Sus scrofa: one gene and its partners. The protein of the gene in region 3 interacts with the protein of the main gene of each other region in a biochemical or structural test. Links are inferred from orthologs where the notes say so. Each region holds a gene or a part of one and is shown on either strand. Other genes may lie near its edges.

Region 1 (4,547 bases), on a different chromosome or scaffold from region 3:
CTCTGCCTCATCCCAAAGGCAAAAAGATAAGCAGTCATATAGTGCTGGGGGTGAAGAATGAAGAGTTAGTATCATGCCCCGTAAAGGAGAAACGCTGGTGAGAAAGAAGTCTTTCTCCTCAAAGGACCTCCACTGAAGTTTACACAATCTCAAGCCACAACAAAAAAGATTCTGGGAGGGGCTTCCTGTAGGCTGGAGAGGGGAAGTGTAGGCCAAGGGGACTTGAATCAGAGATTGGTTCTGATAAGTAACTTCAGATTAGAGGCATGAAAAACACCCCACAATTCTTCCAGTATGTCTCCCTTGACAGCTGGAGTTGGGACAGCAACTTGTTTGCCCCCTAAACTGCTAGACTCACGAGTAGTTCGCCCACTACATAGAATATGAAAATGCTGATTACTGATTTAGGTTAAAAAAAAAAAAATATATATATATATATATACATATATACTCCCTCTGCACTCATCTACCTGTGTGTATGTTCTTTCTGTCTATTCCCATCTAGATCTTGTTTTTTGTTTTTTTGTTTGTTTGTTTTTCTTTTTAGGGCCACACCCACAGCATATGGAAGTTCCCAGGCTAGGGGTTGAATCAGAGCTACAGCTGCCAGCCTATACAACAGCTCACAGCAATGCGGGATCCGAGCCGCGTCTGTGACCTACACAACATCTCACAGCAACTCCAGATGATTAACCCACTGAGCAAGGCAGGGATCGAACCTGCAACCTCATGGTTCCTAGTTGGATTCGTTTCCACTGTGCCACGACAGGAATTCAATCATCTGGGTCATTTTATTTTTTTATTTTTTATTTTTTTTATTTTTTTTATTTTTTGTCTTTTTCGCTATTTCTTGGGCCGCTCCCGCGGCATATGGAGGTTCCCAGGCTAGGGGTCCAATTGGAGCTGTAGCCACCGGCCTACGCCAGAGCCACAGCAACGCAGGATCTGAGTCGCGTCTGCAACCTACACCACAGCTCACGGCAATGCCGCCGGATCGGTAACCCACTGAGCAAGGGCAGGGACCGAACCCGCAACCTCATGGTTCCTAGTCGGATTCGTTAACCACTGCGCCACGACGGGAACTCCATCTGGGTCATTTTAGATGTCAGCCCTTGGACCTGTTTAACCTGCTCTTTACCAGCACTAAGCATAGACATTTCATTAACACCATGGATAGTAAATGATAAAAGGCCACAAAGCCCTGCCCCCTGGAAAATATCTCCCTGCAACTTCCTTGCTCCCCTTTCCCCCTTGATTGGGTGAGAAAAAGGGAGAAATTAAACTTGCTAGAAATCTTTTCTCTTGCTTCCTCCTAACCTGAGACTATGCTTCCTCTTGCAATCCCTTGCAATCTGGCAGGAATTTAGGGCTAGGGTAAAGCCTGGGAAGTGAAGCTGAAGAATATAAAAGTCACCAAAATAAGCCTAGTCACCCAAATTGATCATCCTCCTGATTCAAATATAATTTATGCTATCTGCATCTCATTTACATGTTGTTAATTTAGAAGAATCAGAGTATAGCAAAAATTGCCTGCAGGCCTGACACTTTTTTTTTTCTCTCTCTGTCTTCTTTTTCCTCCTTTCCCAAATGACACTTAGGATGAGCCTGGGAAGCAGAAACAAGAGCCTGGGAACACTTTTTTTAAAGCTTAGAGAAAAACAGGGAAGAAAAGAAAAGATCAATAATTAAGTGGGGGCTGGGCAGCTAGCTGGCCAGACAGGTAAACCAAAAGAACCCAGGAGCTGGACACCGGAGGAAGCTGGGTCTCAGAGAAACTGGGCAAAGTTGGATGGGCTAAGTCTTCAGAATAGAGGCAGGAAGCGTGATGGAGAATTTCTCCTCTTCAAGGTACCTGCCTGGTGCTCCTTCAGAGCAGGAGAGAATGAGGGAGCACAGGTACTCAAACAAATCAGGATTTCTCTTTCTTTTTCCTCTTAAATCCAACACATTTTCTCCAGCTGGAATTATCCTCTGGTGGTGAGTGAGAGGTAAAGCAGCCCAGACCCACCCCTAGCCAGCGGCAGTAAGTAGCCAAAAGTTGGAAGAAGCATATACAACTGGTACCCAGCTTCCACAAGACGCCCCCCACCCGCACTCCCTAGGAACTTTACTCTCCCCTCAAGTGCTTTACTGTCCCCCTCTAATCTCTTTCTCGCTCTGATGCAAATCGTCACAGAACTAATGGTTTAGAAGTTCTCCTCAGAGTTAAGTCAACGACGGTGCCTTGTCTACGTGCTAGCAAGGGAGAGGGGGAAGGTGTCATTAAAAGGAAGAAATACAGGGACCCAAGCAGCGTCTTTTACATATTCCTTCTGCCTGAACGCCTCTCAAAATCTAAACGTGTAGAGACCCAACGTGGAAGAACAGTCAGTGTCACCTCCCCAGGGCTAAAGAGGAAACAGAGGACTGGGGATTAGGAGAAGAGGTGAAGGAAATGGTTCAAAGTTTTTACCTTAAAGAAGTGGGTGCTGTTCCAGGACACAGAAGGAGGGTGCAGCTCTGGCAATACGATGGGGCAGGTGGGTGCAGTGAGGGGCGCCACCACACTCCCAGCTGCCTTCCAGCTGTCAAAGCCAGAGCTCGCACAGGTTTACACGGGTTTGTGCGCAGCAGTCTTGGCCGGATGGTGGCCACTTCCGGACTCACGCCCACGGCCGGCCGGGGGCACTGGAAGAGGGTGGAGACCGGCAGGAGTGCAGCCCAGGTACTCCCAGGTCGCTCAGAGCGTCTCCAGGATTTCTGAGTCGCCGAGTCTAGGGCGTGCGCTCCAGGCCCAGTCTAGCGAGCTGGTTTTCAAAGGAAGTTTGTGGGTTTTCTTTTTTCTTCTTTCTCTCTCTCTCTCTCTCTCTTTCCCGTCGGGACAAAGAAAAATCAGTCAAGGACAAGCTTCTGGGAGGAGGAGGAGCCAGGCCAGCACTGGAGGATTTCCATTAGGGCTTTCTGACCTGGTCAGCAGCTTGGTGATCAGCAGTGAGAGAGAGAGAAACAGGAGAGAAAAACAACAGACCCTTTCTCCTCCCTCCGCCTGCCGCTGGAAGGGACGGAGCGCTTGTGCCTCTCTGGTGAGAAGAGGGAAAAGCAAGGGCCCTTGCTGAGTGGGGAGGAGGAGCAGGGCCGGACAGCAGCAGCTTGTTGGATCTGGGCTTTCTCTCTAGGTACAAAAGTCCTTTGCTCTGGATCCACAGAGGCAGGCCAGACAGCGTGATATTAGCATAATTACTCATTTAAAGTGAAAAATCCTTATCCTTTCAAAATCCTTACTATATCTCTTTTTTGTTTGTTTTTTGTTTTTTAGGGCCGCACCTGCGGCACATGGAAGTTCCCAGGCTGGGATCTAATCAGATCAGCAACAAAGGATCTGAGCTGCATCTGCCACCTACACCACAGCCTACGGCAATGCCAGGATCCTTAACCCACGGAGCAAGGCCAGGGATCGAACCCGCAACCTCATGGTCCCTAGTCGGATTCGTTTCCGCCGCACCGCAACAGAAACTCCCTCACTTTTTTTTTTTATAGTTAATAATGATTTTTATTTTTTCCATTATAGCTGATTTACAGTGTTCTGTCAATTTTCTGCTGCACAGCAAGGTGACCCAGTAACACATACACGTATTTGCTCACTTTTTTAGTCTAGAAACCAGTTGGGCTATGCCCCTGGTAGTGCAGAGAGGGTGTGTAAGAAGCCCCAGGCTCTGGGAAGAGTGAAGCAGGGAGAAAACTAGCTGAGCAAGCAGGAGCTTCAATATCCCTCTGCTCCGGTCCTTGTTCCCACCACAGGCCTCAGCTTCTCATCTATCACCTCCTCTCAATTCCGAGCTTGGGGAGCAGGAAAAACTGGTGTGAGGTTGGTGGTAGGAAACAAAGGGATTCATTAATAAATGAGGGAACATTTGATGAAAAGAGTACATTTATCACGGAGTTCCCATTGTGGCACAGTGGTTAACGAATCCGACTAGGAATCATGAGGTTGCGGGTTCGATCCCTGGCCTTGATCAGTGGGTTAAGCTGTGGTGTAGGTCACAGACAAGGCTCAGATCCCATGTTGCTGTGGCTCTGGCGTAGGCCGGCGACTACAGCTCCGATTAGACCCCTAGCCTGGGAACTTCCATATGCCACAGGAAGCGGCCCTAGAAAAGGCAAAAAGACAAAAAAAAAAAAAAAAAAGCACATTTTCTGCAGTATTCTGCACTACCCTGGGGCTGGAAGGTGGTAGTTAAATGTGGTTGGAACCCAACTCTACATTCTGAAAGGTTCCCCCAAGCTCTACTTACATGGCTGCTCCAGGATGAAACTTCAAACAACTCTGAAGGCTGCAGGGGCATTTGGAACAATTAGGGAGGCAGGTGAGCAGAAACCCAAGTTACAACAGTCCGGAAAAAGAAAGAGAATTTGCTGACGCTATAGAAAAAAAGAGGCTATAGAGTTGTAATGGCAGCAACTGGAGTTGGCAAGAGGCTGTAGGAATTAAGAAGAGAGGCCAAAGATTATTACGATGTTTTCATATTCCAATATTTTTATAACATGGATAATCACAAAATTGTGATTGC
Region 2 (4,746 bases), on a different chromosome or scaffold from region 3:
ATGCCACCTACTGCTATTAGATACCTCTCTCATCCAGTGTTCCTCCTCCCAAGAAATCTGAAGCTAAAGTTAGCCTTCCTGCTTTGCTTCTGATTTTGCTAGGGAGAAAAGGGGGAAAAATACAAAATATTTTAGTTTGGTTTTGGAGGGAACTTGCTATTTATTGGACAAATAATTCAGTATTATCCTAGGAAATGTCTTTTTAAGGTGGACATCAGGATCCATTTCCCACTTTCCTGTAGAGCAGAAATTGACAGAACATTGTAAGTCGACTATAACAAAAACAAAGTCCAATTCCTCCATAAGGTTTCTCTAAGTCCATACAAATCCAATCGCTCTTCTTCCTTTCCTCATTATAGTCACTGTCAATGAAAAATGTAGTATTTTACTAAATACGATTTTTTTGTCCTTTCGTTTTTATAGACATCCAAGAGTCTAAATGAATTCAGAGTAAAGTTCATGACACCTGCATAATATCTAACATAATGCCAAGGACAACGTAGACAATAAAGGACAGAATTGAATTAACTAGGCGTTTCAATGGCTTCTACTGATGATTCATTTAGTCCTCAGTGGAAAGTTTTAACAAATTATGGTAATGAAAACTTTTTCTTTTCAGAAGAGATATGAGGATGATTTATGATGTTCCATTTCTTTAGCTCCGTTCATAAGGTTGTGACCTCATCTTACAGACTTATCATCTGTATGTATCTGGAAATTAAGGACCCATTAAGAAATTTAAATTAGCGAATAACGGTGAAATGCCTAGATCCATACTTCTACTTAATTTTTCTTCAAAGCTGTAAACAAAAACCAAAAAACAAAGATGTTAGTGGAAAACCGCATCTACGACTGTAACCTGTCAGGCACACTGTATTAAAGGCAAAAGTTGAAACCCTCTCAAAGGGGGCTTATTTTAAAATTTTTCCTTTCTAGGAGTTCCCTCATGGCGTAGTGGGTTAACGAATCCGACTAGGAACCATGAGGTTGTGGGTTCGATCCCTGGCCTTGATCAGTGGGTTAAGGATCTAGCTTTGCCGAGGTGTGGTGTAGATTGCAGACGCTGCTCGGATCCCGCGTTGCTGTGACTCTGGTGTAGGCCGGTGGCAACAGCTCCGATTAGACCCCTAGCCTGGGAACCTCCATATGCGCCGGGAGAGGCCCTAAAAAAGGCAAAAAGATTTTTTAAAAAATTCTCCTTTCTAAAGGATTAAAATCCTATAACGGATTTTAAATAACCCAACCTGACATGATCAAAACATTCTGGCAACAGAAAACAGTAAGGACCAGATCTTTAACATAAGATATTTTTTCAGGGAAAAATCCTGAAAAACCCAATATATTTGATAGGCGTTGTGAGAAATAGGATCCCTCCAGTGGGGAGGCTGGGGGTACAGGTGAGCATCCTGCTGTTTATGTCGCAAGCTGCCTCAGGGGGCACGCGGCGGTTGCTATGGAGGCCGCCCCCCCCCCAGTCCCCGCGCTCGCTGCTCCCTTCTGTTCGGTGACCTGCTGGGCAGGCTGCAGGCAGCGCGATGCCGCGGGAGAGTTGCTGGAGGGGGCGGTGGGACCCCGGTACACCATGAGCCTCGGGCCCGGCCCCGTGTCGGGCCGATGAGCGCTGCGCACTCCCCCGCCACTCCCCTCCCGGCCTCGGCTGCGAAAAAGGCAGCGGCTGGACAAAAAGCCCGAGGACGCCGCCGGGTTTCCCTACCAACACTCGCTAGGGAACCTGCATCACCAGCCGCCAGACTGCGGGGCTCTTAAGTACGGACTCTTAAGTGAGCGTCCACTCAATCTGAACGCAGGGGCGGGAGGGGAGGGGGCGGGGCGGGGCCGGGCCGGGCGGGGGAGGGGACGGGGGCTGGCTAGGACGGGGGCGGGGCGGGGCGCCGCTGAAAAGGGTAGGTAACCTGGTGAGGAGCAGGCGGCTGCGCGGGCGGGGGGCGGGGGGCTCGGGGTGGGGGTGGGGAAAAGGAACTGAGAAGTCAGGGAAAGGGAGGCCGGACGCGCAGAAGAGGGCTGAGGGCGGAGTCGCAGCTACGGCGTGGAGACAGGTAACGGAGTGGCCTGAGGGGGGCGGGGGAATGGCCGCGGGCTGGGGACGCCCTTCCCGGGCGAGAGGGGCGGCTCCTGGCTCCGGTGGAAGCAGCCGTGAGGCCGGCCAATCGCCGGCCTCTCATCTGCGGCCTCTTACCCGGCGCGCGTTCCCGGCCTGCCCCTGAGCCAGGAGCGGCCCTGGGCTCGACCCTCGCCTGGCGCGTGCGGCCATAGGGTCTCGGCGTTCGGCCCCGCCCTGTCTCGACCCCGCCTCGGCCCGCCCCCTTCCTGACTCGAGACGCTTCCTGACGCGATTCCCCGCCCCCTCTGGGTCGCGCAGGGAGTCGGGCCCCGGGCCGCCACCGCCACCTCGGCCGCTGCCGCCGCCATCGCTTTCATCCCCATCCCCCGCCATGGCCGAGGAGCTCTCTGCGGCCACGTCCTACACCGAAGATGATTTCTACTGCCCTGTCTGTCAGGAGGTGCTCAAAACGCCCGTGCGGACCGCGGCCTGTCAGCACGTGTGAGTAGACGGCCCCTCCCCCGCGCCGAACCGGGTGGTCGTTTAGGCCCCGCATCCAGCCCCGGACCCTGGGCTGCGGCCTGGCGGGACGCGAGCCCGCAGGCGGCCTCCCGGAGTGCCGCTAGGCGCTGAGGGCCCGTTCCCAGCCAGTCGGAGCCCCGGGCCGCCCTCCCTCTGAACTCGCGGCCCGGTGCCTGCGCCCGGCCCCTCCGCCCGAGCTCGCGGGCCCCAGGGCTCCTCCGTCCTCGCGCCCCCGGGGCAGTGCCCAGGCCGGTCCCCGTGGCGTTTTCGGGCCCCGAGGCCCCTCTCCTCTCCGGCAGCCCCGGGAAGGGGTGCAGGGAACAGGGAGCCTTTTTGTTTCCTAGCAACCTGAGTGAAGGCTGGGGTGTCGAGTGTCAAAACCCGCTGGATGTGCCCGCACAGCCCGCTTCGCGACCGGCCCCGCTTTCAAGTTTCACTTTTCAAGAACCTTGGCCCATTCTTTTCTGATCCATGAGGTCTCATCTAACTTAACCTCTCGGCCCTGCTTCACAGACCACCCTTGAATGTGTTTCAATGCGTTCACCATTCAGTACTAGTTGGAATGAGCTAGAATGGGTTTGCCTCCTTCATTTGTTAGAACTCACAGGATTTCCGGGTATTGGAGTGATAGTTTTCCTTTGTTTTACTCCTCTGCTTATTACTTGGTTACTACAAAGGTGAAGACGGCTGTTGTGAGGAATGAACTGAAATTAATGCAGTAACCCCAGAGGTGATGGGAACACAAAGGGATTCAGTAAGGTGGCCTGGTGCTGTTCGATTTGGCACATTTATAGAACTTTGATAATTTTATAGACTACTAGGATGTCAGTAAGGGTTGGAAAGAGCCCATCTTGTAAAGGTATATAGCACTTCTGACAAACCTGGCTGCTGATTGGAGTCCCTGGGGAACTTTTTAAGTAAACATACCAATTCCCAGGCTCCATTCCAAACTTATAAAAGAATTTCTGGCGGGTGAGGCCTGGAAATCTCTGTCTGAAAATATACACTCAGGCTTGAAAGTTCTGTGTGTATTCATATAGCTGAAAAGAATCGAACAAGTTTCTAAAATTGGTTTCTCCTTTGACTTTATGAGGGGAGCGGTAGATTATCTAACTTTGTAAAGAATGGATTTCTTTTGTTTTTTCGTTTTTGTTTTTTAGGGTCACACCTGCAGCATATGCAAGTTCCCAGGCTAGGGGTCAAATCAGAGCTGCACCTGCAGGCCTAGCCACAGCCACAGCCATGTGGAATCCCAGCCGCGTCTGCCATCTGCTCCATAGCTCACGGCAACGCCAGATCCTTAACTCACTGAGTGAAGCCAGGAATTGAACCTGCATCGTCATAGATAGTAGTCAGGTTTGTTACCAGCTGAGCCACAATAGCAACTCCAAGAATGGGTTGTTGAATTTGAGGTTCTTAAGCATGGATTTCCATACAGTTGTTTCTTTTTTTTTTTTTCTGCTTTTTAGGGCCAAACCCACAGCATATGGAGGTTCCCAGGCAAGGGGTCCAATCGGAGCTACAGCTACATGCCTAGGCCACAGCCACAGCCACATCAGATCTGAGCCGTATCTGCAGTCTGCACCACAGCTCACGGCAATGTCAGATCCTTAACCCACTGAGCGAGGCCAGGGATCGAACCCAAAACCTCTTGGTTCCTAGTTGGACTTGTTTCTGCTGCGCCATGATGGGAATTCCAAGAGTATGTGACTTTTCATGATAGAAGTTATTACCAGTTACATTTTTGCTGCTTGTGAAAGACAAATTACAATTTGGAATTTATATATCATTTGGTGCAACAAATGCAGACTGTTAGAAAAATATTTTGAGATATTTATATATACGTATATTTATATACACACATTTTTTGGTCTTTAATCTGTCAGTGTTCATTATTATAACTTGATGGTTTTTCTGTGCTTGGGCTGTCAGTGGGTTAAAGAAAGGAAGAGAAGGAGGGCAAAGTGAGGAAGTAGGTCTTTTCTGGACAGCATCATTTCAATGATCCTTTGGGTCATTGACCTCATAGAACTCATTGTAATCTCCAGTTCCCCTCAAAATTCCATGCTCTTTGCTCTAGTTCATTTCCCTTTTGAGACATTTTATTAAATGAGATTGTGGCTTAGCTTGACCTCAAGGCTATGGAGAAGACAGTGGAGATG
Region 3 (2,798 bases):
GTGGAGCCCAGCGACACCATCGAGAATGTCAAGGCGAAGATCCAGGACAAGGAAGGCATCCCCCCAGACCAGCAGAGGCTGATCTTTGCCGGGAAGCAGCTGGAAGATGGGCGCACCCTGTCTGACTACAACATCCAGAAGGAGTCCACCCTGCACCTGGTCCTCCGCCTCAGAGGTGGGATGCAGATCTTTGTGAAGACCTTGACTGGTAAGACCATCACCCTGGAAGTGGAGCCCAGCGACACCATCGAGAACGTCAAGGCGAAGATCCAGGACAAGGAAGGCATCCCCCCAGACCAGCAGAGGCTGATCTTTGCCGGGAAGCAGCTGGAAGATGGGCGCACCCTGTCTGACTACAACATCCAGAAGGAGTCCACCCTGCACCTGGTCCTCCGCCTCAGAGGTGGGATGCAGATCTTCGTGAAGACCTTGACTGGTAAGACCATCACCCTGGAAGTGGAGCCCAGCGACACCATCGAGAACGTCAAGGCGAAGATCCAGGACAAGGAAGGCATCCCCCCAGACCAGCAGAGGCTGATCTTTGCCGGGAAGCAGCTGGAAGATGGGCGCACCCTGTCTGACTACAACATCCAGAAGGAGTCCACCCTGCACCTGGTCCTCCGCCTCAGAGGTGGGATGCAGATCTTCGTGAAGACCTTGACTGGTAAGACCATCACCCTGGAAGTGGAGCCCAGCGACACCATCGAGAACGTCAAGGCGAAGATCCAAGACAAGGAAGGCATCCCCCCAGACCAGCAGAGGCTGATCTTTGCCGGGAAGCAGCTGGAAGATGGGCGCACCCTGTCTGACTACAACATCCAGAAGGAGTCCACCCTGCACCTGGTCCTCCGCCTCAGAGGTGGGATGCAGATCTTCGTGAAGACCTTGACTGGTAAGACCATCACCCTGGAAGTGGAGCCCAGCGACACCATCGAGAACGTCAAGGCGAAGATCCAGGACAAGGAAGGCATCCCCCCAGACCAGCAGAGGCTGATCTTTGCCGGGAAGCAGCTGGAAGATGGGCGCACCCTGTCTGACTACAACATCCAGAAGGAGTCCACCCTGCACCTGGTCCTCCGCCTCAGAGGTGGGATGCAGATCTTCGTGAAGACCTTGACTGGTAAGACCATCACCCTGGAAGTGGAGCCCAGCGACACCATCGAGAACGTCAAGGCGAAGATCCAAGACAAGGAAGGCATCCCCCCAGACCAGCAGAGGCTGATCTTTGCCGGGAAGCAGCTGGAAGATGGGCGCACCCTGTCTGACTACAACATCCAGAAGGAGTCCACCCTGCACCTGGTCCTCCGCCTCAGAGGTGGGATGCAGATCTTCGTGAAGACCTTGACTGGTAAGACCATCACCCTGGAAGTGGAGCCCAGCGACACCATCGAGAATGTCAAGGCGAAGATCCAAGACAAGGAAGGCATCCCCCCAGACCAGCAGAGGCTGATCTTTGCCGGGAAGCAGCTGGAAGATGGGCGCACCCTGTCTGACTACAACATCCAGAAGGAGTCCACCCTGCACCTGGTCCTCCGCCTCAGAGGTGGGATGCAGATCTTCGTGAAGACCTTGACTGGTAAGACCATCACCCTGGAAGTGGAGCCCAGCGACACCATCGAGAATGTCAAGGCGAAGATCCAAGACAAGGAAGGCATCCCCCCAGACCAGCAGAGGCTGATCTTTGCCGGGAAGCAGCTGGAAGATGGGCGCACCCTGTCTGACTACAACATCCAGAAGGAGTCCACCCTGCACTTGGTCCTGCGCTTGAGGGGAGGTTTCTAAGTTCTCCCTTTTAAGCTTTCAACAAATTTCATTGCACTTTTCTTTCAATAAAGTTGTTGCATTCCAAAATAGTGTGATTTATTTTTAAGTGTCTAAGGAGGATTTTTTTTTTTAGGTCGGGTTGGGTATAAGAGATCAAGTGTTTTCAGTCTGCTACATAATCTGTGGTAAACAGGAGGTAAGAAATGTCAGTAAAAGATGGTTTTAATGTAGAACTGTAGTGGGTGAGTATAAATAAAACCCAGACTAGTAAGAGGTTGCAGAATTATTCATATGTACTCTTCTATGTAGATTTACTTGTAAATACTGGATGTAGTATCTGAGAAGGGGAAGTTTCTGCAGTACCAGCCAGGAGAAAGAATCAAAAAGAGGGTGGGAGTGATGGGAACCTATGGAAGAATCAGGGTTAGTATGTAAATCTATTTAAATTCACTTTGAACTGTCTGGAAAGTCATTTGACCATTTTTGAAAGAAAGGCTCTGGCATTTGTTATTAGAAAAGTCTCATTAGGCATTACATTAGAAAGTTTTAAGTATTAGTAGAGAAGATTATTGGCTCTTAACTGTTGCTGAAATTGTCAAGATTCTTTTATTATGACTGGATGAGGATTTGTTATAAATAAAGTGATGGCCAGTGAAGCAAATGGCTGTTGGTCTTACACAGTAGTGACTTTACCTAATGACTTGGTCAGTGTTTTTGTCATAACTAGAACCAAAGAGAAGCTAGTTTAATAGAAGGAATTAGCTCTCAGTGGCCTGCAATTAGAGGCTCATTAAAGAACTTGAAATAATGGGAGTTCCCGTCGTGGCGCAGTGGTTAACGAATCTGACTAGGAACCATGAGGTTGCAGGTTCGGTCCCTGCCCTTGCTCAGTGGCTTAAGGATCCGGCGTTGCCGTGAGCTGTGGTGTAGGTTGCAGACGTGGCTCAGATCCTGCGTTGCTGTGGCTCTGGTGTAGGCTGGTGGCTACGGCTCCAATTAGACCCCTAGCCTGGGAACCTCCATGTGCCACGGGA
Region 4 (2,963 bases), on a different chromosome or scaffold from region 3:
CCAGACACTCCTGGCTACCAGGCAGTGTCCACAGTGGTGGTCTCCCCCACTGCCAGTCTCCTCCATGCAGCTCTGTTCTTCCCACCTAACCTCTCAGCAGCCCATAAACCAGACAGGGGGAAAGGGGAAGGAAGCCAGTGGTAGCCTCAAAAGACGTCTGCTCTGCTCAGCTGGGGCCTGCGGCTGCCGGTGCCGGTCCATGTCTCCACCTGCCCGAGTGTCTCAAGTCTCCATCCAGGATGTGCTGGGGTTGACGAGGCAGCTTCTTGGTCCCAGACCCTAGTCTTTCTCAAGCCTCTGTCCAGGTGGGACGGCCCTGGCCTTGAGGGAGGTAGAGGCTTCATGCAGACGGCTACAGGCTCCTTTCTAGACTCTGGCATAAAAGCCTCTTATTTCTCAAGTGAGGGGGAAGAAAACACTCCATTGTGAACGGCTGGGAGTACACCGAAGCCCTCGTACTCAAGTTAGCTTCAGCGCTCCATCCACCGAAGTCCAGTCCAAGAGCCGCTTGAGTTGACTTTTTTTATAGAACTGGTTACGTCACTTAAGACAGCTGACCTTGAGCTTTTCCTCCCAGAAGAGGGAGGCGCTGCCCCTCGTGAAAAGAAACCAGAGGACCCCATTTTTATCCAACAGGATGTCAACAGTGGCAGGAACCTCCTCAAAAGGGCCCAGAGAGGGGAGGTGTCCTACGCAAGGTCTCAGGGGACTGAGAGTAGAGCCAGGAGTTCTGGCTTCCTACCCCAGGGTTAGAAAATATTTGTTCCTCCTTGAAAATAAATATTAAAAATATCACCAAGTTACCAACAGTCCATAGGGAGTAGGCCTTATTCCCAGTGATGTTGACCCAAAGGCTGCACATTTTTAACTACAGTCTAAATCGCTTAAAAAATTGCAAAGCCATGATGTTCCATTCAGAATGCAGTCCCATTAGGTGACAGGCTCCACTGCATGGCCCAAAATTAATCAACGTTTATCGGCTGCGTAAAGGATGTTGTAGTGGGATGTTTTATAGAGCAGGTAAACGGAAGGGATGGCGGCCTCGGGGAACACGTGGTGGTTCAGGGCCGTGTCCATTTCGTCCACATACTCCACCTGCAAGGCAATGTTCAGTGCCTGGGACAGGGCTGTGATCTGGATGTGGTCACACTCCATGGCCATGGGCTCCACTTCCTGCAGAGGCCAAAACGAAAGAAAAACCCAGTTGAGGAGGGAAGCCTGGCAGAGGGCAAGTGAAAAGTCCAACCCTGGCTTTTATGGTCCTAGGTCAAAACCTCTGCGCTGGGAAATAAAATCCACAACCACCCATGAGGCAGATGTTGACACCTGCATTTTTCAGAGGAGGAGACCCAGGCTCAGTGAGGAGGTAACAAATAGCCAGAATTGCAAGGCTCGAATCTTGATCTTTTTTTGATTCTCAACCCCTAGTTCTGTGTGAAAAGAGACACGCTGAGGAATCTGGAAAGAGGAGCAAGAGTTTCAGCTCTGGCTTCCTAACGCACATAATCAGAGAATCCTGGCACAGGGAGGGACTCTGTCACAAGGGGATCTCAAGCTTCCGTGCCTACAGAGAGCTAGCGAGTGAGTCAGTGGAGAGACAGACGGCTGCGAGCTGGCTGGCGTGTCGCAGGAGCTAGGGCACTTGCCACTTAGATCCTGCTGACTGTGGTCATACAAGAAAAGGCCTGGGGAGCTAGATCGATGTTTCCAGAGAAATCCAAACATTCATACAAAAATGGCCCAGTGTTTAAGTGTTGGCCACTCTTTCAGGTAAATACCGTACATCATAAAACAAAACACGTCTTAGGGCAAATGTGACTCTGCGGTTGCTTCTCTGCAGTTTTGTGAACAGTTCAGTCCAAAACCCTTACTTCTCAGATGGGGAAGCTTGACACCCAGAGAGGGAAAGTGACTTGCCCAGAGCCCCACTCCGGGAGGATCTTTTGGGCTTGCTAATCTAGTGCTCTCTGCATGGCGGTGTAGGCTTGACACCCAAGTCCCCTGGTTAGGGAGTGCTGGTGCTGAAGTCTCCTAAGGAGAGAGGGCTGGGCCCAGGACCTACGTGAGTGCAGAAGTCTCTGATGTCCATCTCCTCGTCGATGAAGTGTCGGAAGAAGTCCGCGCGGTTCCTGATGAAGGCTGAGGTGAGCAGGCGCAGGAACTGCACGATTCGGTCCGAGGAGCTCTGGTCGTTGAACACCTTCAGCAGGCTGGACACGGAGCCGTCCTTCTCCACCAGCTCCACCACGCTGTAAAACTGCACCCCGGCCACCATCAGCCCGGGGACAGGCCCCGCCCCTCCCTCCCTGCATTTCTGGCTTTAGATCCTCAGGTTAAAGCACCCAAATCAATCAGAGATCCCACCAGAGCCAAGCAACAGGGTTAGGGACACTTTGTAATGAGTCCCTTACCCGGAGGCCCATCTGAGGATGCCGTTGGAGGCTCCCTCAAGGCCGAGGCTGGCGCTTCTGTACAGATGAGAGGTGAGTCCTCCGGCTCCTCGCTTCACAGCGGGGCCAGGGGAGTGGGGTGGAGAGGGGGTGGGCGGAGTGAGGCCGGGAGGAGCTTCCAGCCCGAGAGCTACTTCCCCAAAGCAGGTGCCTCTTCCCAGAGGGAGGCCAGGGCCCTGGGACCCCTGTCCCCTTGATGTCCCCACGTGCAGGAAGAACCTCCAGTCCTTCCCAGCTGGGAGGAACAAGAGAGGCACAACCACAGGCCATGGGCCATGAGAGGACTCCAGCCAGTGCCAGCTCCTGTCTACTCTGCCAGTGAGGAAGGCCCTGGTCCCTCAGCCATTGTGTCCAGCTTAACTCACAGCATTAAAGAAGTTCTGGAACTTGTGCTCCTCAAAGCCAGCAGCCAGAAGGTCGTTTGGGGTCTGCAGGACACGCTCTTTAAACCTGAAAGGGGAAGACATGCTCACGGGAATGAGGTGGGGGGACTGCTGCGACCTGCGTGACCAG
Region 5 (4,754 bases), on a different chromosome or scaffold from region 3:
TGCAAAATAGAGAAAAGAAAGACTTTAACTTGAAATAGATTCTATTAAACGTTCAAGGACCACCATTTGATAAGGCAGAACAGTAGTAGAGAAAGGTCTGTGCCAACTTTTAACTGCAGCTGTAGTGGAACACACTAAAAGCCTTGTTTTAGGACAAAAGCAGTGAAATAAAAAACAATGGTTTTAAACCTATTACTAGTGTTAACTGCACAGAACCATAAATTTGCCTTTTTCCAACAAAGAACTTTGGTACAAAAAGCCATATAATAAGGGGAAAAAGCAGAAAAAAACAAAATTCTCACATGAGACTAAAACGCAAAACCTGTTTATGAATTTCCATACTTTTTTTTTACATGTCACAAAGGAAAAAAAAAAAAACAAACTGGAGATTAAACCATTCCTTTTAAATAGGACTGAAATTAAAAAGCATTTAAATCAGTGTATGCTACACCGAATCTTCCTTCCATACTACCTATTCCAAACTGAAAGGGTTCACCACATTCCTTTCCCAATTACTTAAGCAAAAACATTACAATTTGTAACCCAGTGTGTTTCCTTCACATACAGTTTGTTGTTGTTTTTAACAAATTGCACTGGAGTAAGATCATTCTAGCTAGTATCCTTTTACCTTGACTATGGATTGTCCCAAACAACGATACTTTTTGGAAATTAAACTTCATTTCTCTAAGGCCAGTCAGTACATATTGCAAGTATCTGCATCTGAAAAGTACAGTATATGGTGACCACAAAACATTAAGCATGTAGTGGGTATACACAATATTCTAAATACTAAATACGTGCCTTTAACCAGGTATCTGGTTATTCACAAACATGAATATTAAACATTCCCCTATCAATTCTTCACATTTTCTACAAAATAGACCCAATTTCAAGCCTGAAAGTAAGGCTTCTACTTTTAAAAAGAGTAGAAACTAAATTAGGTAGTCCTTAAAAATACACATACTACATGACTAAGATACTCATTTAAAACTTTTGCCAAGATAGCCCCTCCCTTCAAAACAAACTAAGACTGACTCATAGTCCTATTTGACTTAATTTTAGAAATAAAAAATTAAACGAATTCCTAAGCACTCATTTCTTCTGTCTCTGTACCTCTACCATTTAAAATATTCAACTTTCAATCTGTGATTTGCCTCTTCAAAAATGGTAAAAACAAAAATTAAAAATCCCCAATACCTCTAAGTTATCTACCGTGGAATAAAAAAAAAAAAAATACTGGATTCAGGAATAATAACCACTGCTCTAAAATCGTGAAAAAATAGAAACAATGTCTACGGTCGCTAAGGAGTCGTCCTACTCTGTGACACCATCCCACCGCAGGTGATACTTTTCATCCGTGAAATCACCCTCCATTTGCCAGTTAACCACCTGAGCAAAAGGTTTCAATTTTGTCTCACTAAGGTGGGAACCAATCCCCCTACATCACCTGTTCCGCCCTCTGTGGGTGTTTCTACATGTGGGGCCGGGGGAGGGAGGGAGTCAGTAGAGTTGGTAGCAGGGTGAGGACAAAGGGCATTTTGACACACGGCTGAAGTAAATAGAAAATGAGGACAGAAAAGGGGCTAGATTCAAGTTCTCTAAAGTAGGTAATGGCTAGAAAAAGCAGGCAACCTTGTTTACCAGCGCTAGGGTCCTATTCTTCATGACCGCCCACTGGAATGCGAAGTTGGAACCACCACTATTCAAGAAGCCCAGCAAATCCCCAAAATGTCAGGGCACCAGGCAGCCTCTGGAATGACAGACCGATACCCTTCCCCCACCCCCACCCCCACCCCAAAAGAAAGGTCCAATCCCATAAGTGCAGGTCACTCTGCCCTCTGGGGTAGTTCCAGCCGGCGCAGAGATGGTCCCGATGGGAGGACGAGAGGGGAAAGACAGACCACCTTTCTTCCCGCACACCCTCAGCTGGGGAAACAAAACAAAGACCGCTCTCCTCCTCCTCCTCCTCGGGTAGCCACTACCCTAGCCACAGAGACTTTCCTATTTCCCGGTGCAGTCTGGCCTCCCGCCCCCGCCCCCGCCCCCATGACAAAGAAAAGGCACTTGGAGAGCCAGCGAGGCCTTCCTGCCTCCACGGATGGGGGAGGGGGCTGCCGACGTGAGGAGCCCCCTCCGCTCACCCGCGCTGCCACTCTTGGCCGGGAAAAGAGCGGAAAGCGGCGGCCTCCGCCCGAGGAAGCCAGGTTGGAGAGGGGCTGGGGGTACCTTGAAGTAGCCGCCTTCGTAGAGGGTGTTAGGGGGTCCGAAGATGGCAACCTCCCAGTTGTAGAGGTCGGACTCATCCACCAGGGTGATCCGGAAGCCCTCCACCGGTTCCTCCTGCAGGGATTTCAGCTCAAGCATCAGGGCCTTCTGCGAACTAGTCATCTGCTGCTGGGCCATCGCGGCGGCGGCGGCGGCGGCGCCGGGCCGGGGCCCCAGTCCTCACGCACCGGCCGGGCCGGACCAGGCCCCTCCCCTGCGCTCGCCCTCGGCCGGGCCGCAACGGGCCCCGGTCTTCACACACCCGGCGGCCCGGACCAGGCCCCAGACGGCCCGTGGGCCAGCCCGGTTCCTCTTCACACGACGCGGGCCGGGCCGAGCCCTTCTCCTCGCACTCAGGCCGTGTGGGGGAGGGGTGGAGAGAGTTGGAGAAATTCGCTCCTGGTCCCGGGCCTCCCCCCCCCGGAGGGGGCCTCAACTTGGGGGGGGGGGAGAGGAGGTGGAATTGGAGGAAGGCGGCGGAGGGCCGGCGATGGTGAGAGTACGCGGCCGAGCCGGCCCGGGAGCGCCGCGCTCGCTCGCCCTCTCGTTCTCCTCGGGGGCCGCGGGGCCGAAGGGCGCGCGGAGCCGAAGGGCGGGAGGAGGGCGGCACGCGGGGGTCTCGCAGCGGCGGCGGCGGCGGCGGCGGCAGCGGCGGCGGCTGCGCGGGGGGAGGGGCGACGGCGGAGGAGGAGGAGGAGAAGAGCGAGAGCGCCTCGCGCCGCGGGAGCGACGGAGTCGAGAAGAAGGAGGGAGGGAGGGAGAGAGAGAGAGAGGGAGGAGGGGCGCGCGTCGGGAGGGAGGGCGGCCTGGGGCGGAGGGTGGCCCGACGCGCGTGCGCGCGCCCCTCCCTCCCCCGCCCTCCTCACCCTCACCCTCCTCCTCCTCCTCCTCCTCCTCTTTCTCCCACTTGGGCGCCTCCTCTCCGCTGCCCCGCGTGGTGGCGGCGCTTTGTGACGCTGGCGCGTGTCCCCCACCCTTAAAGGGCCAAGCGTTCGTGCGGGCCGAGGGTGGCCGCAGGAGATTGCCCCTGGCCCCAAAATGACAGTTGTGTGGCTTGACGCCATGGTGTCAAGGCGCGCCCCGGAAGGGACCTCTGATCCTAAAACTGCTTTCGCTCTCCTTCCCCTCGGTGTATCCACAGGCCTCTGCACCGCTCCTTATAGGAGCCCTGATCCATCTTCCCTCCCGCTTCCTTCCAGTGACACAGTCTGCTCTCCCTGCACTCAGTAGATGCTTGACAAGGATGTGCTGATAATGTGGGTCTTATTGGTGGGAACAAGCGTCCCGACATCTCTTCTGCATATCCAGTTCTCATGCCATTGTATCCTTGAGAAAGCTGTGTCACCCGCATAGGGAGTTGGGGGGCAGTTTCCTATTGGAGAAATGAAGAAGGCAGATAGGCCAGTTTCTACTTCCCTTCTTAACTACAATGAAGAAATTGTAGGAAATAGAGAAATAATAATACAGACAGAACCTGGGTTTCTGGCCCTTTTCTGTGTGATTTGAGGCAAGTGCTCTGGCTATCCCCCAGTTTACCCATTTGTAAAACGATGTATTTGGTTGAACTTTGACCTCCCTACAGATCCTTTCAGCTTGAAAGTCCAATCTAGAACTGGAGAACTTTCAAGACAATCATAACTGAAGTGAGGTATGAAGACAGTCTTCAGTCCCCATGGTTTAGAATACCGCTTTCTCTTAGGAAGGCATGTCCTATGATACTGCCTGAATACTTCCTAGAAAGGCCAGGATACTGTGAGTTCCACATAGTTAGAATTTGGGGATCAGAAAGATCCTTGGTTCCAACCCTAGCTCCACCATTTTCATTATATTACCTCTTCCTTGTTCATTTCCTTCCGTAAAAGAGAGTTAATTATACCTAACATATAAACAATTGTAGTGATTAAACAAGATCATCTATGTACAGAATTTAGCACAATGACTAGCACATGGTAAATTATCCATAAATAGGACTTTAAAGAAAAAAAAATTTTAAGGCACAGCTATGTTTGGATACATCTCAATTTTTTAGTAGGCTTAAAAAAAAGTTTTGGATTTATAGAAAAATGGAGAAGATAGTACAAAGAGTTCCCATATACCTGGCAACCAATTTATCCTATTATTAACATCTTACATTAGTGTAGTACTTATTACAATTAGTGAACCAGCATTGATAATTTTATTATTAACTGAGGTCTTTACTCACATTTCCTTAGTTTTTATTTAATGCCCATTTCTGTTTCAGGATTCCTCCTAGACACCATACTATATTTAGTTTTTGTGTTTCCTTAGGCTCCTCTTGACTATGACAGTTTCTCAGACTCTCCTTGTTTTAGATGACCATAAAAGTATTGAAGAGTACTAGTCAAGTAGTAGAATGGCTCTCAATTATAGTTTTGATGTTTTTCTCATGATTAAACTAGAATTTTGGGGTTTGGGGGAGAAGATCACAGGGATAAAATGATATTTTCATCATATCAGGAGACTATAAT
Region 6 (4,744 bases), on a different chromosome or scaffold from region 3:
GAGGAGGAGGAGGCCCCCCAGCCCCGGGGCAAAGCCATCAAAATGGAGCCCAGCCCCCAGGAGCCTGAAGACCGGGAGGACAGTGGGGATGAGGAGCCCTCGGGCCACCTGGCCCCTCCCAGGCCCGAGTTCACGTCTGTCATCCGGGCAGGGGCCCTGAAGCAGGACCTGGTGGGGCCCTGGAGCCTGACGCCTCCTGGAGACCCCCCACCTTCCCTCCTGCACACGGGCTTCCTGCCGCCCGTCATGCGGGGCCTGTGCGCCCCGGGCACCATCCGCTACGGCCCGGCCGAGCTGGGCCTCGTGTACCCGCACCTGCAGAGGCTGGGTCCCGGCCCCGCGCTCCCCGAGGCCTTCTACCCCGCCCTGGGCCTGCCCTATCCCGGGCCGCTGGGCACCAGGGTGCAGCGCAAGGGGGACTGAAGCCTGGAAAAGGCGCCTGCACAGCCGGACCTGCGGGCAGGTGAGGACCCCAAGGGGGCCAGGCTCTCCGCCCCTGTGAATTAAACGCCGGCGGTGCCCCCGCGGCTCCTCTCTCTCTTCCCGACTTCTCTGCACGGGCCCCCGCCCCTCCCCGCTCAGCATCCCCGCCGCAGCAACCACCACGCCGAAGCCGCAGTCAGCGAAGGGTCAGGTTTTAATGTCCCGGTCCTCGGGCCCGGGCTGTCCAGCGCCCCGGCCGTCCCCCGCAGCCTTGCAGCTCACTCCGGTGGCGGCCGTCCCGCCTCATCGGGCCCTTCGGCCGCGGCTGTTCCGTCATCCTCGGGCACGAGTTCCACGTCCAGCTCGAGCTGGCCCATGTAGAGGCCGACGGCACAAGCCCACAGCAGGCCGGCGGCCAGCACGGCGCCCACTCCCGCGGCCGCGCCCCCCAGGGACAGCTGCATGGGTCCCCGCAGCGCCGCCAGGCCCACCACGTAGGAGGCACCGCCCCACACCACGCACAGGCCGCCCAGCAGGAAGAAGCCTGTGGGACAGAGCAGGGTGGGGTCAGGGAGCGGATCCTGGGGACTTAGAAGGGTCAGGGGATGGAGGTGGCCTTAGAAAGGGTATGGGTGCCCTGGAGGGCAGGGGAGGGGGCAGGGAGTGTACAGAGCCAAGGTCCGGATGTGAGAAGGAAGCAGAGGGTGTGTCTAGGACTTGGAGGGGGGTCCAGGATCAGAGGGTGGGGGCGCTGGTCTGAGCAAAGATAAGGGGCAGGACCAGGCCGAGAGTGGGGCTGCCTGAGGGCCAGACCTGCATTTTTGTCCACAAGTCAGGTGGAAAAGGGTGAGCATCCACAGCCCTGCCCTGAGCCACCCCCTCAGGTGGGTCCAGTGCCAATGAGGCAGGGATGGGGTGGGTAGAAGGTGGATGCTCACCAGTGAGGCCGAGGCCACTTTTGGTGGGGGAAGAATGAGGGGTTCTAGCCACAGTTGGGGGGGGTGAGTCTACCCCCATGGAGTGGGGTCTGCATTCCCTAGCTGAGGTGGGGGGGGGAGGCGTCTACACTCTCTGGTGGGAGAGCAGGGGTATGTACTCACCATAAGCAGCTTCACGCCCCATATCACTCTGCATGAAAGAGATGACCCCGATGCCCGATGCCAGGAGGCCATTGCGGAACCAGGAAAGGAAGGCTGCGGGGCGGGGGGGGGGGGGGGGAATGGGAGGAAATCAGCAAGGGCCCACACCCTGCCCCTGCCCCTCCCTGACCAACCAGACAGAGGGGCTCCTCTTCATCCCACCGACCCGACCCCAAATCCCCACCTCTTCCTGACAGCCCCCAATCTAAGAACCCCCAAAACCCTCACTGAGCCCCTCTCCCACCCAACTTGGCAACATCAAAGATTCAAGACAGTCTGCAGAATCTGGAGGGGGATCTAGGACCAAAACTGCAGAACCTAAATCTGGGGACGGGAAGATTCCAAGAGGTCAGCTTGGTCAATGTCTCCCTCACATCCCCATGGCCACCCCCTCACTTCCTTCTCAAACCTTCACACCAACCGTTACCCCTCCCCGCTCCCCCAGGCCTCTCTCCAGCCTCCCCGCTCAGTTTACTAAATCCACGCTGCTATCAGGTGTGCTCTTCCTGGAGGTAATTCACATCCACTCAAGTCCCTGGTGTGGCACTAATCGGGGCTAGTCGGGTTACAGCCATCCCCACCGCTACACCTGTCCACGATCTCTAAAGCCCATCCTCTCCAACCCGGACCCCTCCACCCCCACCCAGCACCCTGCCAAATGAGGCCCCACCCCCTGCAGCCAGGAGCACCATGCCCTCCAATCAGCTCAGAGCTGCTCTTCTATTGGGTGTTCCCTCTTCCAACCCAGAACTTGCCCTCTCTTCTGTGGGGATCCACGCTCCCGCCTTATGCAGAGTGGTCGCCTCTTTAATCCGAACTGGCCTCTCCAACGAGGCCCCCCTCTTGTAGGCAACTCCCTCGCCCCTAGCCCTCTTTGAAAGCCTCCGCCATCCGGACAGGGCCGTTTGATAAGGCTGCCTGTCCTGGCCCGACAAAGCTCTCCAGTCCCTACTGAACCTCATTAACCAGACCCGCGGTCGCATCTGCAAGCCCTTCTATGCGGACAGTCTGCGCTCTTGCAGCCAGCGCTTCCCTGCTCTTACACGGAAGCCGTTCCTCCTCCTGAGCCTCTCCCTGGGCCAGGTTTCCAGCAGGGTCCCACCACCATCCGCTAGCGCGCGCGGGCAGCTCAGCTATTCGGAACCCCTACTCCCATCCGAGGCCGACCCCATCCCCAGACCTGTCTCATGAGCCTTCCGAAGGAGCCAGGCATCTGCGCGATCCAGCTCGGACACCGGGGGCGGCGAAGCCCCAGAGCGGGGGCCGTGGCCAGGGGCAAAGGACCCCCGGGCGCCCCCGCTCCGGGGCCGCGGAGGCGGCAGCAGCGCCCCCCGGAAGCGGAGTCGGGCTAGGCGGGCAGCCCGAGCCCACCACCAGCCACCTCCCATGGTTCGCACTACGGCCGCCGCGCACCGCACCGCCCATGGGCTGCCGGTAGGCTGAAGCTCACGTCACTCGAGCTTAGCGGCCTATCTATTGATTATACGCGTGCCACTCAGGCCCGGTACGCACTGCCCATTGGTCAAAATGGCGCTGATCCCGCCTCTGTCATTGTGCCGGTACTGCGCGGCCCACCTTGTTGTTGGAACTGGACTTCAAATCCCAGCGTTCATTGTGCTTGGGGAAGGCGGGTCTTCTGAAGTCGGAGGCGCGATGTCTGCCGGTACTTGTAGTCTTTGCTAAGTAACTTTAATTCTTGGGGCCAAGAAACCAAAACCAAACAATACTTGTGATGCTTAATGTAGAACCTTTGCAAAATCTCGAAGAGCCCAGAAGAGAAAGTAAAACTCAGCATTAATCCCACCAATGAGTGGTTACTGCTAATATTTTTTTTTTTTTTTTTTTTTTTTTTTTGCCAAGCCCCTGGGCATGCACAACTTCCCAGGGATCCAACCCGGGCCACAGCAATGAGAACGCAGGAGCCTCAACCCACTGAGCCACACCAGGGGATTCTGTCTTTTATCGAAAGAGATGTAAAACGTTTGTTATATGAAAAAAATTAATTTGTCAATCACTAATCAATCATGAACATTGACCTGTAGCACTGAATACTTTGCAACGGCATATTTTTTTTTTCTTTTTAGGGCCGCACCCGGGGCATATGGACGTTCCCAGGCTAGGGATGGAATGGGAGCTGCAGCCGCCGGCCCACGTCACAGCTACAGCCACAGCCACGCGGGATCCCAGCCGCGTCTGGGAACTACACCAGAGCTCACGGCAATGCCGGATCCTTAACCCACTGAGCGAAGCCAGGGCTCGAACCTGCAACCTCATGGTTCCTAGTCTGATTCATTTCCAAAGAGCTACGATAGGAACTCCAGCATATTTTTATCTATTATTTATTATTATTTTGTCTTTGCTAGGGCGGTACCCGTGGCATATGCAGGTTCCCAGGCTAGGGGTCTAATCGAAGCTGTTGCCTACGCCAGAGCCACAGCAACGCCAGATCTGAGTCGCGTCTGTGACCCACATCAGAGCTCACAGCAATGCCTTAACCCACTGAGAGAGGCCAGGGATGAACACGGAACCTCATGGTTCCTAGTCAGATTCATTAACCACTGCGTCACGACGGGAACTCCAGCATAATTTTTTTTTTTAATATTATTTAAGAGTTCCCCTTGTGGCTCATAAGTTAATGAACCCAACTAGTATCTATGAGGACGTGGGTTCGATCCCTGGACTCACTCAATGGGTTAAGGATCTGGCATTGCTGTGAGCCGTGGTGTAGGGTCACAGATGTGGCTAGGATCCTGCATTACTGTGGCTGTGGTGTAGGCCAGCAGCTGCAGCTCTGATTGGACCCCTAGCCTGGGAACCTCCATATGCCACGGGTGTGGCCCTAAAAAGACTATATATACATATATATGTATGTGTATATATATATATATGTATGAATATTTTTTTGAACACAGTACAAGATGCAAAAGTTACAAAGTAAAAAAAAAGTTACAAAATCATCTAATGATAAGTAATACACATCCCATTTCCCAAGCCAATCCCTACCCCCTGTTCCGCGCAGCCTGTTTCAACGGTTCACACTGATGCTTCATAAGAAGGTACCACAATTGATCCCAAGCCCTAGATTGTTTGCGATTTTCCCTGCAATAAATAATTGTAGGAGTTTCCTTTGTGGCTCACAGGTAACAAACTTGCCTAGTATCCATGAGGACACAAGTTGGATC
Region 7 (4,606 bases), on a different chromosome or scaffold from region 3:
AGAGCCACAGCAACGCCACATCTGAGCCGCATCTTCAACCTACACTGCAGCTCACGGCAACACCAGATCCTGTACCCACTGCGTAGGGCCAGGGATTGAACCTGCATCCTCATGGATACTAGTCAGGTTTGTTACTGCTGAGCCACAAAGGGAACTCCTAGCAAACTTTAAATATTAGAGATTTTGAAAAGTTACATTTTAAATACATTAGAAAAACAGCATAAAAATTGCTTAAATGACTATAATAATTTTACCTAGAATGCTTTTCAAAATTCTAATGGCATAAAAGGAAAGTAGGAACTGGGACATGTGTTCTCAAAAATACTTCCCAATTAATTCTGATACTTAGCTGTCATCCTTCCCTGGCTTAGAGTCTTAGATGTATCCCTCCTTTAGCTATTAATGGGTTAGTGTAATTAAAGGTAATTCCAAAGGTGTGCATGAAAAATGAATGCCAAATCAAATAATTGTTAACCTTTTCAAAGATAATATAAAATGAAACAAGGTTTCAAGTTTACAAAGTAAATGAATTAACCACTAGCAAAAGAACAGTATTTGTGCTATATTTTTTTTGTCTTTTTTTTTTTTTTTTTTTTTAGGGCTGCACCCACTGCATACAGAACTAGGGGTCGAACTGGAGCTGTAGCACCAGCCTACACCACAGCCACAGCAACAATCTTTTGCTATATTTTTATATTTTAGGTATATATAAAATGAGAGTATATTTCATGTACTTGTCTCTCCCTAAAATAAAATTTAACATGATTTATCTTATCTAGAGTTGTAGATTTTAAGAGGAAAAAATAGCACTCAAGTTTTCACCTCCATTTTCATCATACTTTATTCAAAGTACAGATTTTCAGCACACCCTCCTGTGCTATGCACTCATGGTCCCTTACAAATTGTCCCCAATGTTCTGCTAACCCTGACTCTCATTACTTCTCAACAAAGAACCACTAAAGTTTAATTATACAGTGCTTCTGATCTTCAGAGTCTTTTCATAAACATTATCTCCTTTAATTTTCACAAAATCCTGTAAACGGAGCACTTCACTAAAGAAGGAAACTCAAAACAAAATAATGAAAGCTCACAGGGAAGAACTGACTTGTGGCCGCCTGGGGGAGAGGGAGGGAGTGGGAGGGATGGGGAGCTTGGGGTAATCCGATACAACTTGGAATGGATTTACAATGAGATCCTGCTGAGTAGCATTGAGAACTATGTCTAGATACTTACATTGCAACAGAACAAAGGGTGGAAAAAAAATGTATACATGTAAGTGTAACTTCGCCCCCATGCTATAAGTGGAAAAATAAATTAAAAAAAAAAAAAAAGAAAGAAAGCTCATAGGATGGTAGAGATGGAAATGAAATGCAGATCTTTTGGTTCCAAGACAGAATCAAGCCAGTCTTTTTGATATTCTCCACTACAAAACACCTTGGCCCCACCTCTCTGCCTTTAATCCCTAGCTAGAAGTTCTCTCTGTCCATCCAAATTTTCCCAGTCTTCCAAGATTTCCATTTCAGTGGAGCCTTAGGTAAGCCATTCTAAAGAACCTCTCAACTGAACTTCCCAGGCATGTATAGTGTGCACTATGCATCCTTTACCTTAATCAGATACAAAAGTGAGCTGCTTCTTTAATCTTTAACTTGAACGTGTGTTATTTCTCTATCTGGAATCTAAAGTTCTAGGAGAAAAAAAAAACAAATTCTAGGAGAAAGAAATGGTATTAGGCGTTACTTCTGAATTGACTACAGCATCTAGCATAGTGTTAGTATATATTTGGTCAAGAAATACTTCTTACATAGAAATAGAAAAAGAGAATAGTACCTGGAGGCATAAAGGATGATTATAAGGTGCAAAAGTAGGTACGTAAGAATGAAGCACACAAGTTCCGATGAAAAAGAAAAAGGTAAAGAATGAAGAAATCTGCAGTACAGAAGACAGCACTAATAAATCTGCTTTGAAGACAGCAGTACCACAGACGCCAAAGGAAAACTTGAAAGACGAACTGTAATTGCTGCAGGCAGAAGACAGTAGGGGGTTCGCTTCAATGATGTGTAAAGAGCTCCAGGAAAGTTTTGACAACTACAAAGGGCATCTAATGAGTTGTGAAAAGAGAGGACTGTCAGTTCCATAAGCCTGAATATCAATAAATCTATTAAAGTTTTCAGGTGAGTCTTTATATGAGCATTACCTTCTTAGCCAAATTACTCTGTGCAGGACTCCACACAAAATTTAATCAAAGCTGGTCTTGGCGACTTTCACATTAATCCAGTTCCCTTCCCTCTCCACCCTCCTAGTCTTCCCAAGCTTTTGCTCCGTTCCATTACAAAAATGCAAGCGTTTGTAAATTTTTGCCAGCAGGACTAAAACATGGCTTTCAAGTTTGCATAATTTGTCCTACCCTGGGAGCAGTGGATCAGTTAGGTGACAGATCTTGCCTTCCACTAAACACCACACGGTCGGGGCAGCAAACCCAGCCCCAACCCGTAGGATGCCCCTAGCCTCGCGGCACCCGCCACACCTCCCCTTCCCTTCCAACTGCTCCATACCCACGGGGGAACCTCGGGGTCCACGGGGTCGAGAAGGGCTCCAGCACCGACAACTCATTGGCCAGCTCCTGGAAGTGACAGGACATGAGGCCAATGAGAACACGGTACCGGGCCAAGGCCAGGTAACGTGATTATGGAAGAAGGGCCTTCGAGAAGAGAAGGAAGTCGGGGCAGGAAATTCAGGCTCCCGGCGAATGGTGACTGCGAGGTTATGGGGCAGAACTCACCCACGGCGACAGAGCCCATAACTGCATCCCCTAATGGGCCTTTGGGCTGGGCAACCAGCTGCGTCTTCCTCCTGGTGACGAATTGAGAGCGACAGAGCCGAAGCCAGCGTGACCCCTAGAAAGCAACAACTTCCGGTACGCAGCATCATGGGAAGTGGCTTTGGCCCCAGGATCCAGCGGCACTGACGCTGCTTAATCAGCGCCTGCGCGAGGCTCACGCCCGGAAGTCTGGACGCCTCCTCACCCGGAAGTCTAACTGTCAATCAGTTTTCCCCGCTCGGCAGTCAGTCTCTGAGGTTATCTAAATAATTCTAGGAGTTCCCGTCGTGGCGCAGTGGTTAATGAATCCGACTAGGAACCATGAGGTTGCGGGTTCGGCCCCTGCCCTTGCTCTGTGGGTTAACGATCCGGCGTTGCCGTGAGCTGTGGTGTAGGTTGCAGACGCGGCTCAGATCCTGCGTTGCTGTGACTCTGGCGTAGGCCGGTGGCTACAGCTCCGATTCAACCCCTAGCCTGGGAACCTCCATATGCCGCGGGAGCTGCCCAAAGAAATAGCAAAAAGACAAAAAAAAAAAAAAAATTCTAAAAGTATGGGTATGTGGCCGGAAGTTTGGAGTCTCATGGATTGTTACCTTACTCAAACATATCACATCTGAAGATGTGATGGGGGGGCGGCATTTAAATTTCACGCAGTTTCCATAGTTCTTTCCAATCAGTTTCTAAAGTTGAGTATTTAAATAAATGGTCTTGAAGTAACTTTGCTGACGGAGGGTAAAATTTATAAATAATTACTGTTTATTTGTTCGAAATAGCTAAGTGCCAAGCCTTCTGCAGAGCAACTTAAATTAACTTAGGCCTTGTCTTATGCAGAAGACACAATAATCTTTAGGGGAAAAAGGATGCAGATTCCAGTAGAAAAGTAGGCCACGGTTATAAACAGATAATTCACAATAATAGAAAATGATATGGGAGTTCCTGTGTGGCTCAGTGGGTTAAGGATACCATGTTGTCACTGCTGTGGCTCACGTTACCACTACAGCAAGGATTCAATTTCTGGACCAGGAATTTCCATATGCCATGGGTGCAGCCAAAAAAATTTTTTTCAATAAAATAAATAAAAGAACATGGTATGAGAAGTTCCCATTGTGGCTTAGTGGGTCACCAACCCTACTCATATCCATAAGGATGCAGGTTCCATCCCTGGCCTCGCTCAGTGGGTTAAGGATCTGCCATTGCTGCAAGCTGAGACGTGGGTTGCAGATGTAGCTTGGATCTGGTGTAGCTGGGGCGTAGGCTGGCAGCTGCAGCTCCACTTTGACCCCTAGCCTGAGAACTTCCATATGTCACAAGTTTAGCTATAAAAAGAAAAAACAAAACAAAAAGCAGATTTGGAGCCATTGTACCACCTGCTTCCCTTTCCTAGAATGCTGTTCCCCTTTGATCTTACCCTAATTTTGTTCATACCTTAAAAGTCACTTTCTCACAAAGAAATTGAAAGAGCAACCTAGTTAACATAGCCACCCAATCACATCACCTTATTTTACTTTTCAGCCTAGCAAATCACTATCTGGTATTTTTATTTCACATTTACCTCTATATTTATCTTCCCCACCCCATCCCCCTACCCTCATAAATACACAGAAACAAGTAAATGTAAACTTTTTGAGAGATGGGACTTTTTTTTTCTTTTTATGGTCACACCCACCACATATGGAAATTCTCAGGCCAGGGACTGAATCCAAGCTGCAGTTGCAACCTCTGCTGCAGTTGTGGCTATACGGGATCCTTTAATCCACTGCACAGAGCTGGGAATTGAACCTGCTCTCT

Evidence for each region.
Region 1: the proteins of UBC (region 3) and MINDY1 form a complex in vitro, tested with the Homo sapiens proteins (5 studies listed by BioGRID, with this or other methods). The link is inferred for Sus scrofa from reciprocal best matches to the Homo sapiens genes UBC and MINDY1.
Region 2: the proteins of UBC (region 3) and RNF138 form a complex in vitro, tested with the Homo sapiens proteins (3 studies listed by BioGRID). The link is inferred for Sus scrofa from reciprocal best matches to the Homo sapiens genes UBC and RNF138.
Region 4: of the proteins of UBC (region 3) and OTUB2, one has a biochemical effect on the other in vitro, tested with the Homo sapiens proteins (5 studies listed by BioGRID, with this or other methods). The link is inferred for Sus scrofa from reciprocal best matches to the Homo sapiens genes UBC and OTUB2.
Region 5: the proteins of UBC (region 3) and UBE2R2 form a complex in vitro, tested with the Homo sapiens proteins (3 studies listed by BioGRID, with this or other methods). The link is inferred for Sus scrofa from reciprocal best matches to the Homo sapiens genes UBC and UBE2R2.
Region 6: the proteins of UBC (region 3) and TMEM160 form a complex in vitro, tested with the Homo sapiens proteins (2 studies listed by BioGRID). The link is inferred for Sus scrofa from reciprocal best matches to the Homo sapiens genes UBC and TMEM160.
Region 7: the proteins of UBC (region 3) and USP16 form a complex in vitro, tested with the Homo sapiens proteins (8 studies listed by BioGRID, with this or other methods). The link is inferred for Sus scrofa from reciprocal best matches to the Homo sapiens genes UBC and USP16.

Annotation. Positions count from the first base shown.
Region 1 is NC_010446.5:98,217,248-98,221,794, reverse strand, and holds the start of MINDY1 (ubiquitin carboxyl-terminal hydrolase MINDY-1), read right to left. Parts: upstream 3,180-4,547; 5' UTR 2,453-3,179; intron 1-2,452. UniProt on the Homo sapiens protein: Hydrolase that can specifically remove 'Lys-48'-linked conjugated ubiquitin from proteins. Has exodeubiquitinase activity and has a preference for long polyubiquitin chains. May play a regulatory role at the level of protein turnover.
Region 2 is NC_010448.4:115,925,278-115,930,023, forward strand, and holds the start of RNF138 (E3 ubiquitin-protein ligase RNF138), read left to right. Parts: upstream 1-1,743; 5' UTR 1,744-1,767; intron 1,768-1,880; exon of another isoform or gene 1,881-1,904; intron 1,905-1,931; exon of another isoform or gene 1,932-2,057; intron 2,058-2,380; 5' UTR 2,381-2,453; coding exon 2,454-2,563; intron 2,564-4,746. UniProt on the Homo sapiens protein: E3 ubiquitin-protein ligase involved in DNA damage response by promoting DNA resection and homologous recombination.
Region 3 is NC_010456.5:28,258,921-28,261,718, forward strand, and holds the end of UBC (polyubiquitin-C), read left to right. Parts: coding exon 1-1,782; 3' UTR 1,783-1,851; downstream 1,852-2,798.
Region 4 is NC_010449.5:115,321,517-115,324,479, reverse strand, and holds part of OTUB2 (ubiquitin thioesterase OTUB2), read right to left. Parts: intron 2,901-2,963; coding exon 2,816-2,900; intron 2,258-2,815; coding exon 2,063-2,257; intron 1,174-2,062; coding exon 967-1,173; 3' UTR 1-966. UniProt on the Homo sapiens protein: Hydrolase that can remove conjugated ubiquitin from proteins in vitro and may therefore play an important regulatory role at the level of protein turnover by preventing degradation.
Region 5 is NC_010452.4:33,011,463-33,016,216, forward strand, and holds the start of UBE2R2 (ubiquitin-conjugating enzyme E2 R2), read right to left. Parts: upstream 3,012-4,754; 5' UTR 2,404-3,011; coding exon 2,227-2,403; intron 1-2,226. UniProt on the Homo sapiens protein: E2 ubiquitin-conjugating enzyme that accepts ubiquitin from an E1 ubiquitin-activating protein, and catalyzes its covalent attachment to other proteins by an E3 ubiquitin-protein ligase complex.
Region 6 is NC_010448.4:52,874,204-52,878,947, forward strand, and holds TMEM160 (transmembrane protein 160), read right to left. Parts: upstream 3,059-4,744; 5' UTR 2,951-3,058; coding exon 2,743-2,950; intron 1,617-2,742; coding exon 1,524-1,616; intron 968-1,523; coding exon 702-967; 3' UTR 620-701; downstream 1-619. Other genes in the region: NPAS1 (neuronal PAS domain-containing protein 1), read left to right, coding at 1-423.
Region 7 is NC_010455.5:192,375,193-192,379,798, reverse strand, and holds the start of USP16 (ubiquitin carboxyl-terminal hydrolase 16), read right to left. Parts: upstream 2,918-4,606; 5' UTR 2,799-2,917; coding exon of another isoform or gene 2,780-2,798; intron 2,621-2,779; exon of another isoform or gene 1-2,620. UniProt on the Homo sapiens protein: Specifically deubiquitinates 'Lys-120' of histone H2A (H2AK119Ub), a specific tag for epigenetic transcriptional repression, thereby acting as a coactivator.